Linked DNA regions of Sus scrofa. The protein of the gene in region 1 interacts with the protein of each later gene in a pairwise test. Links are inferred from orthologs where the notes say so. Each region holds a gene or a part of one and is shown on either strand. Other genes may lie near its edges.

Evidence for each region.
Region 2: the proteins of PSMC5 (region 1) and RORB interact in binary tests that used the Homo sapiens proteins (3 or more experiments, as listed by UniProt). The link is inferred for Sus scrofa from reciprocal best matches to the Homo sapiens genes PSMC5 and RORB.
Region 3: the proteins of PSMC5 (region 1) and FOS interact in a two-hybrid assay, tested with the Homo sapiens proteins (3 studies listed by BioGRID and IntAct). The link is inferred for Sus scrofa from reciprocal best matches to the Homo sapiens genes PSMC5 and FOS.

The regions. Positions count from the first base shown.
Region 1 is NC_010454.4:15,103,500-15,107,751, forward strand, and holds the start of PSMC5 (26S protease regulatory subunit 8), read right to left. Parts: upstream 2,828-4,252; 5' UTR 2,680-2,827; coding exon 2,656-2,679; exon of another isoform or gene 2,379-2,655; coding exon of another isoform or gene 2,367-2,378; exon of another isoform or gene 2,143-2,366; intron 2,137-2,142; coding exon 2,065-2,136; intron 1,273-2,064; exon of another isoform or gene 1,171-1,272; coding exon of another isoform or gene 1,072-1,170; coding exon 1,002-1,071; intron 573-1,001; coding exon 475-572; intron 315-474; coding exon 258-314; intron 178-257; coding exon 1-177. Other genes in the region: pre-rRNA processing protein FTSJ3, read left to right, coding at 3,246-3,312, 3,486-3,591, 3,870-3,916, 4,034-4,113.
Region 2 is NC_010443.5:227,572,702-227,576,823, forward strand, and holds the start of RORB (nuclear receptor ROR-beta), read left to right. Parts: upstream 1-1,270; 5' UTR 1,271-2,614; coding exon 2,615-2,653; intron 2,654-4,122. UniProt on the Homo sapiens protein: Nuclear receptor that binds DNA as a monomer to ROR response elements (RORE) containing a single core motif half-site 5'-AGGTCA-3' preceded by a short A-T-rich sequence.
Region 3 is NC_010449.5:98,448,182-98,452,359, reverse strand, and holds FOS (proto-oncogene c-Fos), read right to left. Parts: upstream 2,853-4,178; coding exon 2,712-2,852; intron 1,954-2,711; coding exon 1,702-1,953; intron 1,262-1,701; coding exon 1,154-1,261; intron 1,031-1,153; coding exon 389-1,030; downstream 1-388. UniProt on the Homo sapiens protein: Nuclear phosphoprotein which forms a tight but non-covalently linked complex with the JUN/AP-1 transcription factor. In the heterodimer, FOS and JUN/AP-1 basic regions each seems to interact with symmetrical DNA half sites.

The DNA of each region.
Region 1 (4,252 bases):
CTCGATCACTTCTTTGATCTCCTTGATCTGCTTGTCCAGTCCACCAATCATCTCGTAAGTTGAATCTGGCACTTTCTCCACCATCATCAGTGACACCAGTGGATCTACCTTGTTGGGCAGGATCTTGTGCAAAGTGTAGCTATCATTTCTGAGAGCCACCCGGCAGTTGGGTGTCACCTGGGCGAGAGAAGAGAGTTTTAGGATGGGGCATGGTGAGAGCTGACCCCCCAACTCCCAACCTCACCTGCTGCACTCACATCATTGATGTCGATGTTCTTGTCCACGTCTACGACAAACTTGCCCTCGGGATGCACCTACAGAAACACAGGCTTGTGTGCTTCCCTGACAGCCATGAGCCTCACCCAGAGAGACCCCCGAGTCTCACAATAGCACGACAGGAGAACCTTCACGACACACGTAGGTATGGGAATGCCACGACCAAAGGGCTGCTCCCGGGGCTCATGCTGCCTTTACCTTAACCAACACTTTTTTCTTGTCCATGGCCCGGACTACTTCCCCCACATAGGAGCCCTGTTCTTGCAGTAGCTGTAGCTCCTCTCGCAACAGGCGAACTAGATGGGAAACAGACATAGTGGTCACCCAGATTCTTTGATGTCTCCCCCCACGACTTGATTCAGGATTCAGCATGCATGAACTAAGTGCCGTTTTGAAGTTTTGAAAGGAAGGTTTCAAAAAGAAAGTCAAAACAGGTCCTACTGCATAGCACAAGGAACTATGTTCAACACCCTGTAATAAACCGTAACAAAAAGAATGTGAAAAAGAACATATATGTGTGTAATTGCAACACTACCGCACAGCAGAAGTAACACTGTGAATCAACTAGAATAAGACTTTTTTTTTACAAGTCGAAATTCATATCTTTAAAGGAGGTTACAAGGGAGCTTGAGAGATGTGCACGTGAACAACTATGAGAAAGCGACAGGCACCCGTGTGAGGACCTCACACTGCCTGCGTGCAGCCTTCCCATCCTTCCCCCTCACCTTTTGCATTAAGCTCATTCCTCTGTGCTTGCAGCCTGCGGAGATTCTGGCTCTTGTCATTCACAATCAGCTGTGGAGGACAAGAGGCAAAGGGCAGACAGTGGTAGGAGGTTATGACCCTCACAGGCTGATGGGAGCAGAGTGAGGAAAGAGCACTGGGCACCCGCATGTTATTTCAGATTCTCTAATGTGATCCAAGAGTTCCTCAGGAGTGTAGGACAACCACAGGGAAAAAGCTTCTTGTCTAACACTGGTCCAGGAATAGCAAACCCTAATGGAGAAGAGGCAACAGCTGGCTTACACTGTGTCTTGCAGGGCAGTAACATGGTAGAGAGAGAAGATAACTTTGAGTCAGAAGCCTAAGTTCTAGCCCCACTGCTGGCTGTTAATAGCTGAGTAAAGCTAATGAAAACCACTTAAAAGGTCTAGATCTCTCACCAAACTGCAAGTGGTGCACCTACTGGCCTCTTTTCGGGGTTAATTTGAGGAACAAATGAAAGCAGCACAGGTAAAGCATTTCAAAAATGACCACCCAAATATGAAACCTGCAAATGTACCTGGAAGTGAGAATTTTTCCTTGTGGCTCTCCATCTAATTTGCAATATTTTCCTCATTTCTATGATCTGGCTCCCTCTTTAGGCTGTAATACTGGGTTGCTAGTTCCTTTTCATTTGGCCCCCTGGAACCAGCATTGTTCAGACTCCTCAATTTTGTCTTCCCTCACTCTCACTCTGCCCCAACCCCTCTCTAATAAATCCCATCTTCTGAACCTACATCTTCCCTTTTATAAGAAACTACCATTCAGGCTTCCTCTGAAAGGAATGATTTTTGGCCGGGGCTAACTTTTATGTGAAAATTTGACTCCTGAAAATATGTAACAAACTGTGAATATTAATGATCTTCAAAAGGGTGGGACTTGAGGAAGAAACTGTTAACTTGATATAATTCATACCCTTGGCTTCTTGCTTCTTCCACTGCGCCCCAGTGGAATCATACGGCTTTCTAGAAATCGGCTCCATCGATCCTTCACCGAAGCCCTTCCAGCTCCCTCAGGACCTCTTACCTGGAGTTCTTCAATCTTGGACAGATAATACTGGCGGAGTCCACTGCCTGCCTTCCCCTCTTCCAGCTCCATCTGAAGACAGTTTAATTATTAAACAACAGGTTAAACACCCAAGGGATAAAGCTACTTCCAGCTTGGACTTCAGAGACTAAGACTTGGGTTCTAATCCCTCACTCCATCTCTTCAAAACCCTTCGTGTCCCAGTGACAGAAGAGGGGAAACAGAAAGAGGGGAAAAAAAGTCCACCCCTTAAGACTTTCAGGAGGAGCAAGAGAGAACACACAAGGCAACGGCATACAAACCCGAAGGGTCATTACTACAGGAGGAGCCAGCAAGAAGGACGGGTTCCCTGACTCGGGCGACTCGCTCACTCATCCCGCTTCCACCGGGTCTTCCATTCCCGGCCCTGCCCTGACCCGCCGGGGGAGGCGCTGACACAGCAGATCCGTTCCCAGGCAGGGCCCGGTCCGGATTGGTCCATCCACACCTGATTGCCTCAACGCTCTTGCCCCAGACGGCTGCCCACCTCGGATCACACCTGCTCCGCATCCAGCCCTGATCCCCGTCTGGCCGCGGCAGCCGCCGCCATACCTGCTCAGGCCCGTCAAGCGCCATCTTCCCTCTTCCGCGGAGGCCCCCGGCATCAGAGCCGCTTTGGTGCGCAGGCGCGGAAGCGGGGCTTGGGGGACCGAACTCCCGGGCAGAGAACAGTTCCGGGTCAATGGGCGGGGTGTGCGCCCAAACAAAGCAAATAACAGGGGCCCTGAAGCGGCGGGGCCACGCGAGGTCAGGAGCTTTGGAAGGGGATAAAGAGGACGCAGAGCTCCTAAATGTTATTCCGAAGAAACTAGGTTTTGGTTAAAGTAATATTACTTCCGGGTGCAAACATCTAGTTTATAAACCTGGACACAGAGCTTAAAGAAAAATTTGTGGCCACGCTCAAAATGGCGGAAAACTTGGATCCGCGGACGCAGCCGACGCACACGGAAGCGGAAATACGTTTGCTGCTTACACGTGCCGCTGCTGGGGTAGTGAAAACGGAGCTGGGTGGTGTTAGGAGCGGAGTGCGGAGTGTCTTTGAGAAGACGAGTGGGGAGCGGAGAGCGTAATCTAGTATTCTGGGCGGAGACGTCCTGATTTCTGCTTTCTCTCCAGATTGAGTGGCACTCCCCAGTTCCACTATGGGCAAGAAGGGCAAAGTAGGGAAGAGCCGGCGGGACAAGTTCTATCACCTGGCGAAAGAGACCGGTGAGTCATGGTTTACGCAGTCTGAGAGCAAGAGAGCCACCGATCTTTGCCTGTTCGCCTCCTTCCCGAACATTGGGTTTCTCTTCCACAGAAGAGGTGGTGGGTTGTGAGGCCACCGTAATCCCGCTGGGAAAGCGCTTTCGCGGACTTTATTCTTTTTTCATTGTTTCTAGGTTACCGTTCCCGCTCTGCTTTCAAGTTGATCCAGCTGAATCGCCGCTTTCAATTTCTGCAGAAAGCCCGAGCCTTGCTAGACCTGTGCGCTGCACCAGGTGGATGGTGCGTAATATCTGGCACCTGTTGCTTCTTGTGGCAGCTTTCTGCATTCCCGCCATGGATGACTGAGTTTAACTGTGGGCAGGAGAGATACAGGACTAACAATCTGAAATTTTTCTACTTCCGAAACAAATTTCAGGGAAAAATATTTGGAAGTTATGTATGAGATATGTTTGGCCACTGCAGTCGGCAGGGGCTCCTAATACTGGGGATGAGAGCCAGAGACGGCGGGAAAGGGACAAGCCAGGGTAATTATTTCAGTGTTTACTTCTTTTTTATAGGCTGCAGGTGGCTGCCAAGTTTATGCCTGTCTCCAGCCTTATTGTGGGTGAGTGACAGTTCTTTTAAGCGTTTCGGGGATGGCGAGTGTGACATGCTGTGTTCGGCATTCCCTTCCTCCTGTTTAAGGCAACCTTTGGGAACACTCCACCCTGATTTCTTCCAGGTGTGGACTTGGTTCCAATCAAGCCTCTTCCCAATGTGGTGACTCTCCAGGAGGATATCACAACAGAACGTTGTAGGCAGGTAATGGAGATTTCTCTTTTCTCTCTCTCTTTTTTTTTTTTTTTTTTTTTTGGCTGCATCTGCGGCATATGGAAGTTCTCAGGCCAGGGATCAGATCCAAGCCTACCCTGATCCTCTGAAGGCATGCTTTTCCTGTTTA
Region 2 (4,122 bases), on another chromosome or scaffold:
AAAAGATATACAAAAATATGTAGGAGAAAAAAGTACTTTTAATATGTTTTAGCTATCTTTTAAAATAATTACAGATATTATAGCAGTAAAAATAAATTTCAGAATTCAATAAATATTTAGAAATTTAAGACTAGATGAAAGAGTTAAAATTCTTGAACTTTGAAATTCCTCTTTAGTGAGAAATAGAAATCTAAAATAATGACAGTAATAATACTAATAATATTTACAAAGGCTTTGAAATTTTCAATATTCCTGTGTCTCTGAAGCACATAAAAGTAAAATGAGGTAGTCACAGTTTGTTTCTTGACTATTTTATATTCAGTAATTTTTAATGAAGCAACTAAATTAGGCATAACTTAGTGCAGCTTTAATGTAGTTATGATGAATATATTTTACTTGATTAAAAATGATAAAACCAGGAAGCCTTAAATATTATCTTAAACGATTAACTACTGTGTCAATTACAAATCTAGGGGAAAGGTATTTATAGGGGAATAACTATTCTGAGGAGTAACTTCCTTTTGTTCATTTCATTTAATTAAAGACTCAATCAACTTTCATTCTAAATACTAAAATTCTCCTAAATTACATATTGGCTTGCAAATGGAAGGGCATACAGCAGAGCTAAGTCAATTTAACACTAGTGAAGATTCAGAAACTAATCCATTTTTACTTAATCGAGGGAGGTGGGGGGACTATTTGGCAGTGTAGAGTGGGTCTAATTAAATAATCACCAATTCTACATTGGATTTTGTGTTACATGACATAATATAAATAAATACCAGTAAAAATCAAGTTATTCTGTATCTAAAGGATGATGAGGCCTGCTCTGCCAACAGGTATGCCAGTGGGTAGAAGCCTCAATGCCTTAAAGCTGAGTAGATGTGGCAAATTTTTTCACCTTTTTTAGGGTGATCAATTAATCAATCAAAGTATTCCACTATGGAAAGTAGATGTGATCATCTATATAATACGTCCAATAAGAAAATAAGGGGAAACTTGAAAATGAACGGTTTTGATATATGCATTAGATTTTTACCACAGTACAAATAAAATGGTCATAGATGACGGTTTTCACCTATAGGAAATACAATAACTACCTACGTTTAATTGCCAGTTCCCTCTACATAGATAAATGTCTTCTAGGAGCAACTAGAATAAACAATTCCTCCCTCCTAAAGCCCTACACCTTCACGAGATCAGTAATACTTTGCAATCATACCTTGTAGCCTCAGCCCTTTGCCTTGCATCACTAAGTTAGCCACATCGCCAATCGGGGTTGTTACCCTTGAGTCATGTGTCCCAACCCCAGTTTATTAGCAACTCCAAATGCTAATAAAAATCCGTTTCTTCGATAAAAGGAAGCATTAAATTTTTACGAATTTTTTAAAAAACAGACATCTCATTGTTTTGTTTATTTTGTTTTTAGAACAGGGCTAGAAAGCATCTGAAAGACGGTTTTAAAGAAAGCAAGGAAGGCTCCTTGCCTGGGACTGTATTTTAGTTGTGCTCAAAGTGATGGAAGTTGATTTGCGTTATCCTGCCACTAAGACTGAAACGTCCTGCCCAGGAAAACTCCCGCCAAACATGCGGAGTTTACCGAAAATGGACTTTACAGAGAGCTGCCATAAATTCAAAACTAACTACCCGGGCCGCAGGTTTTGCGAGACAGGGAAGCAAGCAGGGACTCAGAGAGCCTCGTTCCTCCCCTCCAGAGTTCTCCTAAGTGCCTCCTCCCTACTCCTGGAATCGGAACTATCACCCGCAGATCTGCCCGATCTCCTCCTCTGCCCAGTTCGGACAGTCTCTAATGCCAGGTTACAGCCCTGGCCGCCTCAGGCACCACTGTGCTAGCTCCCCTCCCCTTGCCTTCAAGCGGATCCCCCGTGGTCCCAGCCCTCCAAGAGCTGCGGGGCGATGATTGGCGGCGACGCTGACAGGAGGCGGGGCCTGGAAGTCTCAGCCAAACCCGCCCTCGCGTATAAGCCCCTTCTCGGCTCTCTCTCTCCATCTCTCTCCTCTTTCTCTCTTGCTCCCTTCCTCCCTGTAACTGAACAGTGAAAATTCACATTGTGGATCCGCTAACAGGCACAGATGTCATGTGAAAACGCACATGCTCTGCCATCCACACCGCCTTTCTTCCTTTTCTTTCTGTTTCCTTTTTTTTCCTTGCTCCTTCTCCCTCTTCTTTGTAACTAACAAAACCACCACCAACTCCTCCTCCTGCTCCTGCCCTTCCTCCTCTTCAGTCCAAGTGATCACAAAAGAAATCTTCTGAGCCGGAGGCGGTGGCATTTTTAAAAAGCAAGCACATTGGAGAGAAAGAAAAAAGAAAAACAAAAGCAAAACAAAACCTAGGCACCAGCCATTCAGCACATTTTTTTCACCCTTCCTGAAAACAAACAAACAACCAAACAACCATCAAAACAGTCACCACCACCATCATCAAAACTGTTAACATAGCAGCGGCAGCAGCGACAAACGTCACCCTCCGGCCACGGCGTCCACCTAAAGGGATGGTTTTCCGGGTGGAACAGCTCTTCGCCGACCACCTACTTCACTTGTGCTGAGAGGGATTTTTGGGCTCTCCGGGGTTTGGGCTGGGAGCAGCTTTATGACTACGAGGAGCGGAAGAGCGGCCACACCATGCGAGGTAAGCAAGCCCGGGGCACGGTGCTTCGCCGGTCCGGCCAACTCCAGCCAGATGGGTGATGGGGGAGGGGAGCGCACTCAGCCGAAGAGGAAAGAGGTTGGCGGGGCGCAGTTTCTGAGTTCGCGTTCGCAGGTGGGCTGCAAATGGCCTGGGCGTATAAAGTTGTGGGAAGGTGTTGATGCCTCTCGGGAGTTCGGAGGGACACTGGAGGGCGGTTTTGGGGGAAGGGGTTGATGCTAGTTGCTTCCTCCCAGTTTCTGAGTTGCACAGAACCATTTTGGGGTTTCACTCTCTAGAGGGAGAACTAGGAAAGGGATGTCTCTCGGCAGAAGCCACTAGAAGCGCCGGGCGCACGGCCGTCGCCTGCCCGGGTTGGTCGCGTGGGGCGCACAGGCAGGCGGCAGAGAGGCGGGTACTCAAACACTCCAGGTTACGCGAGACCCACCAGCGTCCAGGTCAGCGGACATGTCCCTTCGTGGGAGTGGTAGAAGAGGAGGCAGTGTCGTATATGTAGACGCAGATTCCAGGATCGTCCCCCTGCGCGCGTCCTTCGCACCGCCGCTGCGCCCTGCCAGGTCCGCGTACCCGAGCCCGCGCGGCCCTGAGACAAGCGCCATCCAGAAAAAGTTGTGCGGAGAAAGTTCCAGAGGATAAAAGCCCGCGCTAACAGCTACAGGAAAGGCTCCTTTATCAAAGGGCAGCTCCGGGAGGCGGTTGTGGTTGAACCCTCAGGCCAGGACCCCCAGCTGCGGCGGTGACGGCAGCAGCAAGGCAGCGGCAGGTCTCTGGGGCGAACTGGAGGCCGAGGGGCGACGCTCCGGGGACCTGGAGCAAGGCACCTGCTCAGGCTGCACTTTGGGCTGCGGAGCAAATGACCAGGCCTGTTTTAGAGTCACTTTGTCAGTCTCTTCCCCTGCGGTGCCAGACCTTCAGGTTTCCTGCATGCTGCGCCCAGACTTGCTCTCCTCTACTTTCCGCTTGGCCACAACTTCACTTTTCTGGGAGAGCCAGCCGGGTGCCCGCGTGCCATGGAAATGTAATTGCAAGCCTCTGAGCACCTGCCCCCCACCCCACAGTTTTTCTTCCTGGCCATTCTGCATTTCTTGTGGCAGGGCTGGGACTCTCCTCTCCTCTTGGCTGGCCCTTCAGGGTCCTGACAACAAAGTTGGAAAAGGTCAGCTCAGACCTTCCTACTCGCCCTCACCCGGTGCGACAGGTGGGCTAGACAAGAAAACTTGCAAGAGTTGGGCTGAGAGTAACACTGGTCTCCTTCCACCGGGCTCCTACCCATACCTGGAGAGGACAGCGGGCATGCTCCCCTGCTCCACTTGCAGTGAGCCCTGAGCCTAGACTCTATCACAGAAACTGGGTTAGCCAGCAAGGCGCTGGGACATAGCAGGAAAGGGAAGGAGGAGGAACAGAGAAGCCATCCAAGGAGGTGGGTGGGAGGGAGGTAGCTGAAGCTAAGG
Region 3 (4,178 bases), on another chromosome or scaffold:
CAATTTGAAAATATCCAGCACCAGGTTAATTCCAATAATGAACCCAATAGATTAGTTAATGCTATGAGAAGACTAAAGAGCAAGAGAAAAAGAGACACAGACCCAGGCCTGGCTCAACATGCTACTAACTACCAGCTCTCAGATGTGTCACTGGGGACAATACACACTCCATGCGTTTTGCTACATCTCCAGAAGAGGTAAGGACTCGAGTCCACACGTGGATGCTTTCAAGTCCTTGAGGCCCACGGCCTGGTGGTGTGTTTCACGCCCAGATAAGGTCCTCCCTAGGTCTACGGGAACCCTCGAGGGAAGACGTGTTTCTCCTCTCCATAATGCACCGACTCGGGCAGTGGCGCGTGCCTGCCTGCTGCCTCCCCTCTCTGCCCGCTCACAGGGCCAGCAGCGTGGGTGAGCTGAGCGAGTCAGAGGAAGGCTCGTTGCTGCTGCTGCCCTTGCGGTGGGCAGCCGCACAGCTGGGGAAGGAGTCAGCCTCGGGGTAGGTAAAGACGAAGGAAGACGTGTAAGTAGTGCAGCTGGGGGTGCAGGTGACCACCGGGGTACACAGGGGCTCCAGCTCTGTGGCCATGGGCCCCATCCCCAGGGAGCCACCATGCAGGGGCTCCCAGTCTGCTGCATAGAAGGAACCAGACAGGTCCATGTCCGGCACAGAGCGGGCTGTCTCAGAGCCGCCGGGCCTGGACGATGCTGGGAACAGGAAGTCATCAAAGGGCTCGGCCTTCAGCTCCATGCTGCTGACGTTCTTGACTGGCTCCACGGAGGGCTTGGGCTCCGGGTCATTGAGGAGGGGCAGGGTGAAGGCCTCCTCAGATTCGGGGGTGGCAGCCTCAGGCAGGCCCCCACTCAGATCAAGGGAAGCCACAGACATCTCTTCAGGGAAGCCCAGGTCATCAGGGATCTTGCAGGCAGGTCGGTGAGCTGCCAGGATGAACTCGAGTTTTTCCTTCTCCTTCAGCAGGTTGGCGATCTCAGTCTGCAAAGCAGACTTCTCGTCTTCTAGCTGGTCTGTCTCCTGGATACAGAGGATACAGCAAAGCATAAGACACGGTCTTACTCAAAGACTCTGTTCCCTTCTACCCAGTCTCTAACTTTGCCCTTAAGTTTTCGAAAGAAGTGATCCATGGATTCTACCTACCGCTTGGAGTGTGTCAGTCAGCTCCCTCCTCCGGTTCCGGCATTTGGCTGCAGCCATCTTATTCCTTTCCCTTCGGATTCTCCTTTTCTCTTCTTCTTCTGGGGACAACTGGAGGTGGGGAGAGAGAGAGAGGGCAACATTCAGTAACAGTGCCTGCTATCAGCTCCGTTCACCCACCCTAGGAAAACTGGCGCCTGCAGCTTCCCGCCTCCTGGCACCTCTTCTGTGAAGCCATTTCTAACCTGCAGTTGCAAGCTGGGTGTGACTTGCATTTAAAATAAGAACCTCAGCAGGAGAACAAAGAGAAGCTACAAGGGTGAGATAAGAAACTATTAGGGAAGAAACTGCACATTGGATATTACTTAGGGTGGACTATTAGAGTCTGACTTGGGATGGATAGGGCTTGGAGCCGGGGTTCCCAGTCCAGGATATGTAATCAGTTCCACCCATGGCTTCACCCTGTCCACTATGCTCCCCATCTCCATCAAGACTGACCTTACCCCCCCAACCCCAGCCACCACCAGAGAGAAGGTGTTGAGAACCCTCACCTGTTCCACCTTGCCCCTTCTGCCAATGCTCTGAGCTCTGCCTCCTGGCATGGTCTTCACGACTCCAGCCCTGGAGTAAGCCCCAGCCGAGGGAGTGGGGACTCCGTAGGGGTGAGGGGCTCTGGTCTGGGATGGGGCAACCGAGGAGACCAGGGTGGGTTGCACTAGCCACTGCAGGTCTGGGCTGGTCGAGATAGCAGTCACCGTTGGGATGAAGTTGGCACTGGAGACGGCCAGATCGGTGCAGAAGTCCTAGAATGAAATATAGAAGGGGAAAGCTGACGTGAGCGACCAGGCTCTGGACGCAGGTGGGGTGAGCGGAGTGCCCAGTGCCGCATGCAGCAGGGAGAGAGTGAAAAATGGACTGCTTATGTATTTTTATATGTCCTTCATCCTGGATGAAAGGTCTCTCCCTTCCCAAGAATTCCGCAGCGCAGTGCCTTTCTCCTCCATCCTGCTGCTGCGTTCCCGTTATCCCTTCAGCATCACTCGCTTGAAAGGGGGGTTGTTATAAATATCCCTGACGTCTGCGCTGACGCAGACGCCGCTCCGGAGTCTCCTGAATGAACTCGCTTTTTATCAATGAAACTGCCTTACACACCCGCCGGCTTCACCCTCCTCCTCTCACCCTCCTCCCTGCTCCAGGCTGCGAGGGGAGGGAGGATCGCCGCTTTTTGCCTCCTCCCCCGGAGGTGCCCGGCTCTAGTTAGCCAGTCTTTGCTTGGGACACTTTTGCCCCCAGCTAATGTCAGAGACCAGTCAGAGCGCGTGGGCCAGGGTCAGCTCAGAATGAGCCCACAGCGGGAGAGGAGAAAAGATTCTTATTTTGACAAGCATGTGTGCGCTCCGAACAAGTCCGGGGCTCCCGAGATAGGGCTGATCCGGCCGGGGCAAGCCTCCCTCTCTGGCCAATGGGGTCCCCGGCTTGTCTTCCTGAGCGTCCCGTCCCAGTGTCTCCTCCCCGGTAACCCCGAGCCCCGAGCCCCGCGGTGGCACGAAGCCAGCCTTACCTGCGCATTGACGGGAGAGCCCATGCTGGAGAAGGAGTCGGCCGGTGAGTGGTAGTAGGAGAGACTGTCCCCGGCAGGGGAGGCGCTGCTGCAGCGGGATGATGACGCCTCGTAGTCGGCGTTGAAGCCGGAGAACATCATGATCGCAGGTAGTCAAAGCCGGGCGAGGGGCTGAGGGGCGGAGACAGGTAGGAGCTGCGGGGCTGAGCTGGGTAAGAGCGCGGTCGCTGCTCGCTCGCTGCGCCGCTGCCGGTTCTGTCTCAGCTTAGCTGCTCGCTGCAGATGCGGTTGGAGTACTAGGCCACTGCTTTTATAACAGCATTTTATGAATGAGCCCAATACGTCACGGAGCGCTACCATTGCAGCTCTCGAGGGGTGGCGCTCGGATCTTGCCACCTCTGCAGCCTCTTTGCTGCCTCTTCCGCCGTCTCAGCCCCCTGCCTTTCGTCTTATTGTGTTTCTTTATCTTCTGAGCTTTTCTCAGTCTCGGTCTTGGGGTCGCGTAGACCCCCTAAAATGAGGGACTTCGGGGATGGCTCCCCCCACAACTTCAGGGAACGGCCGTGGAAACCTGCTGACGCAGATGTCCTAATATGGACATCCTGTGTAAACGGGAGGGAGGGATTGACGGGAACTGCTCGCGGGCTGCAGCCAACACCAAGGGTGCAGCGCGGGGGGGAGGCGGGGGCCGTGGCCGGGGGGAGGGGAGGCGGGAAAGGCAGAGAAGGCGAGCGAACATTCGCACCTGGTTCAATGCGGACCCTTGTTCCCGGGGTTGGGGGATGGGGCGTAGGCGCCTTTTTACTTGTGTACAGAAACCCGGGAAGAGTTCTGAGGTTCAGGTATAGGCGAGATAGGTACACAGCCCCTTGGGCTTAAGCCTTGGCCCCCGAAGGAATGCGCCTCCACCCCCATTCCTCATTCTATCACTAATTCGGTGCAAACTGTGGAAGCAGACCCCCACCCCCTCGCCTCAAGCCCCAGCGCTCAGCACTACTAGGACTGTTACTGCGTTTGGAAGCGGAAAGTAGAGGGATACAAAATAAGAGAATACGATAACCTACTTTATCTACGATGCTGGGTATTTTAATATTAATTTTTTTTTAAGGGAAAAGGAGCATTTTTTTCCTCGGCCAAATACGGGATGTTAGAGTTACTGTCAAACCCCAGAGACACCAGCCAATAAACATTGTGCAGAACCTCCATGCAAAAATGTCTGTAGGGTTGTTTGCCAGGTTCTGAGCTCGGGCTCCGGAGGGGCTGTCATGTGGACAAGGTCGTCAGTTGGGGTACTGGATGGAGTGAGGTATTGGGGGAGCGCAAGTCCGAGCTGGAGAGGTGGGGGTGGTTCGATGCCCCGGAAGCTGGTTATTGGGAGCCAGCAGCGGGTGATTTTCCAGCACCGACTTGGAGGGGGGAGGACGGGGGCGCTGGAAGGACCGTGCCCAGCAGCGCCAAGGCCGGAGA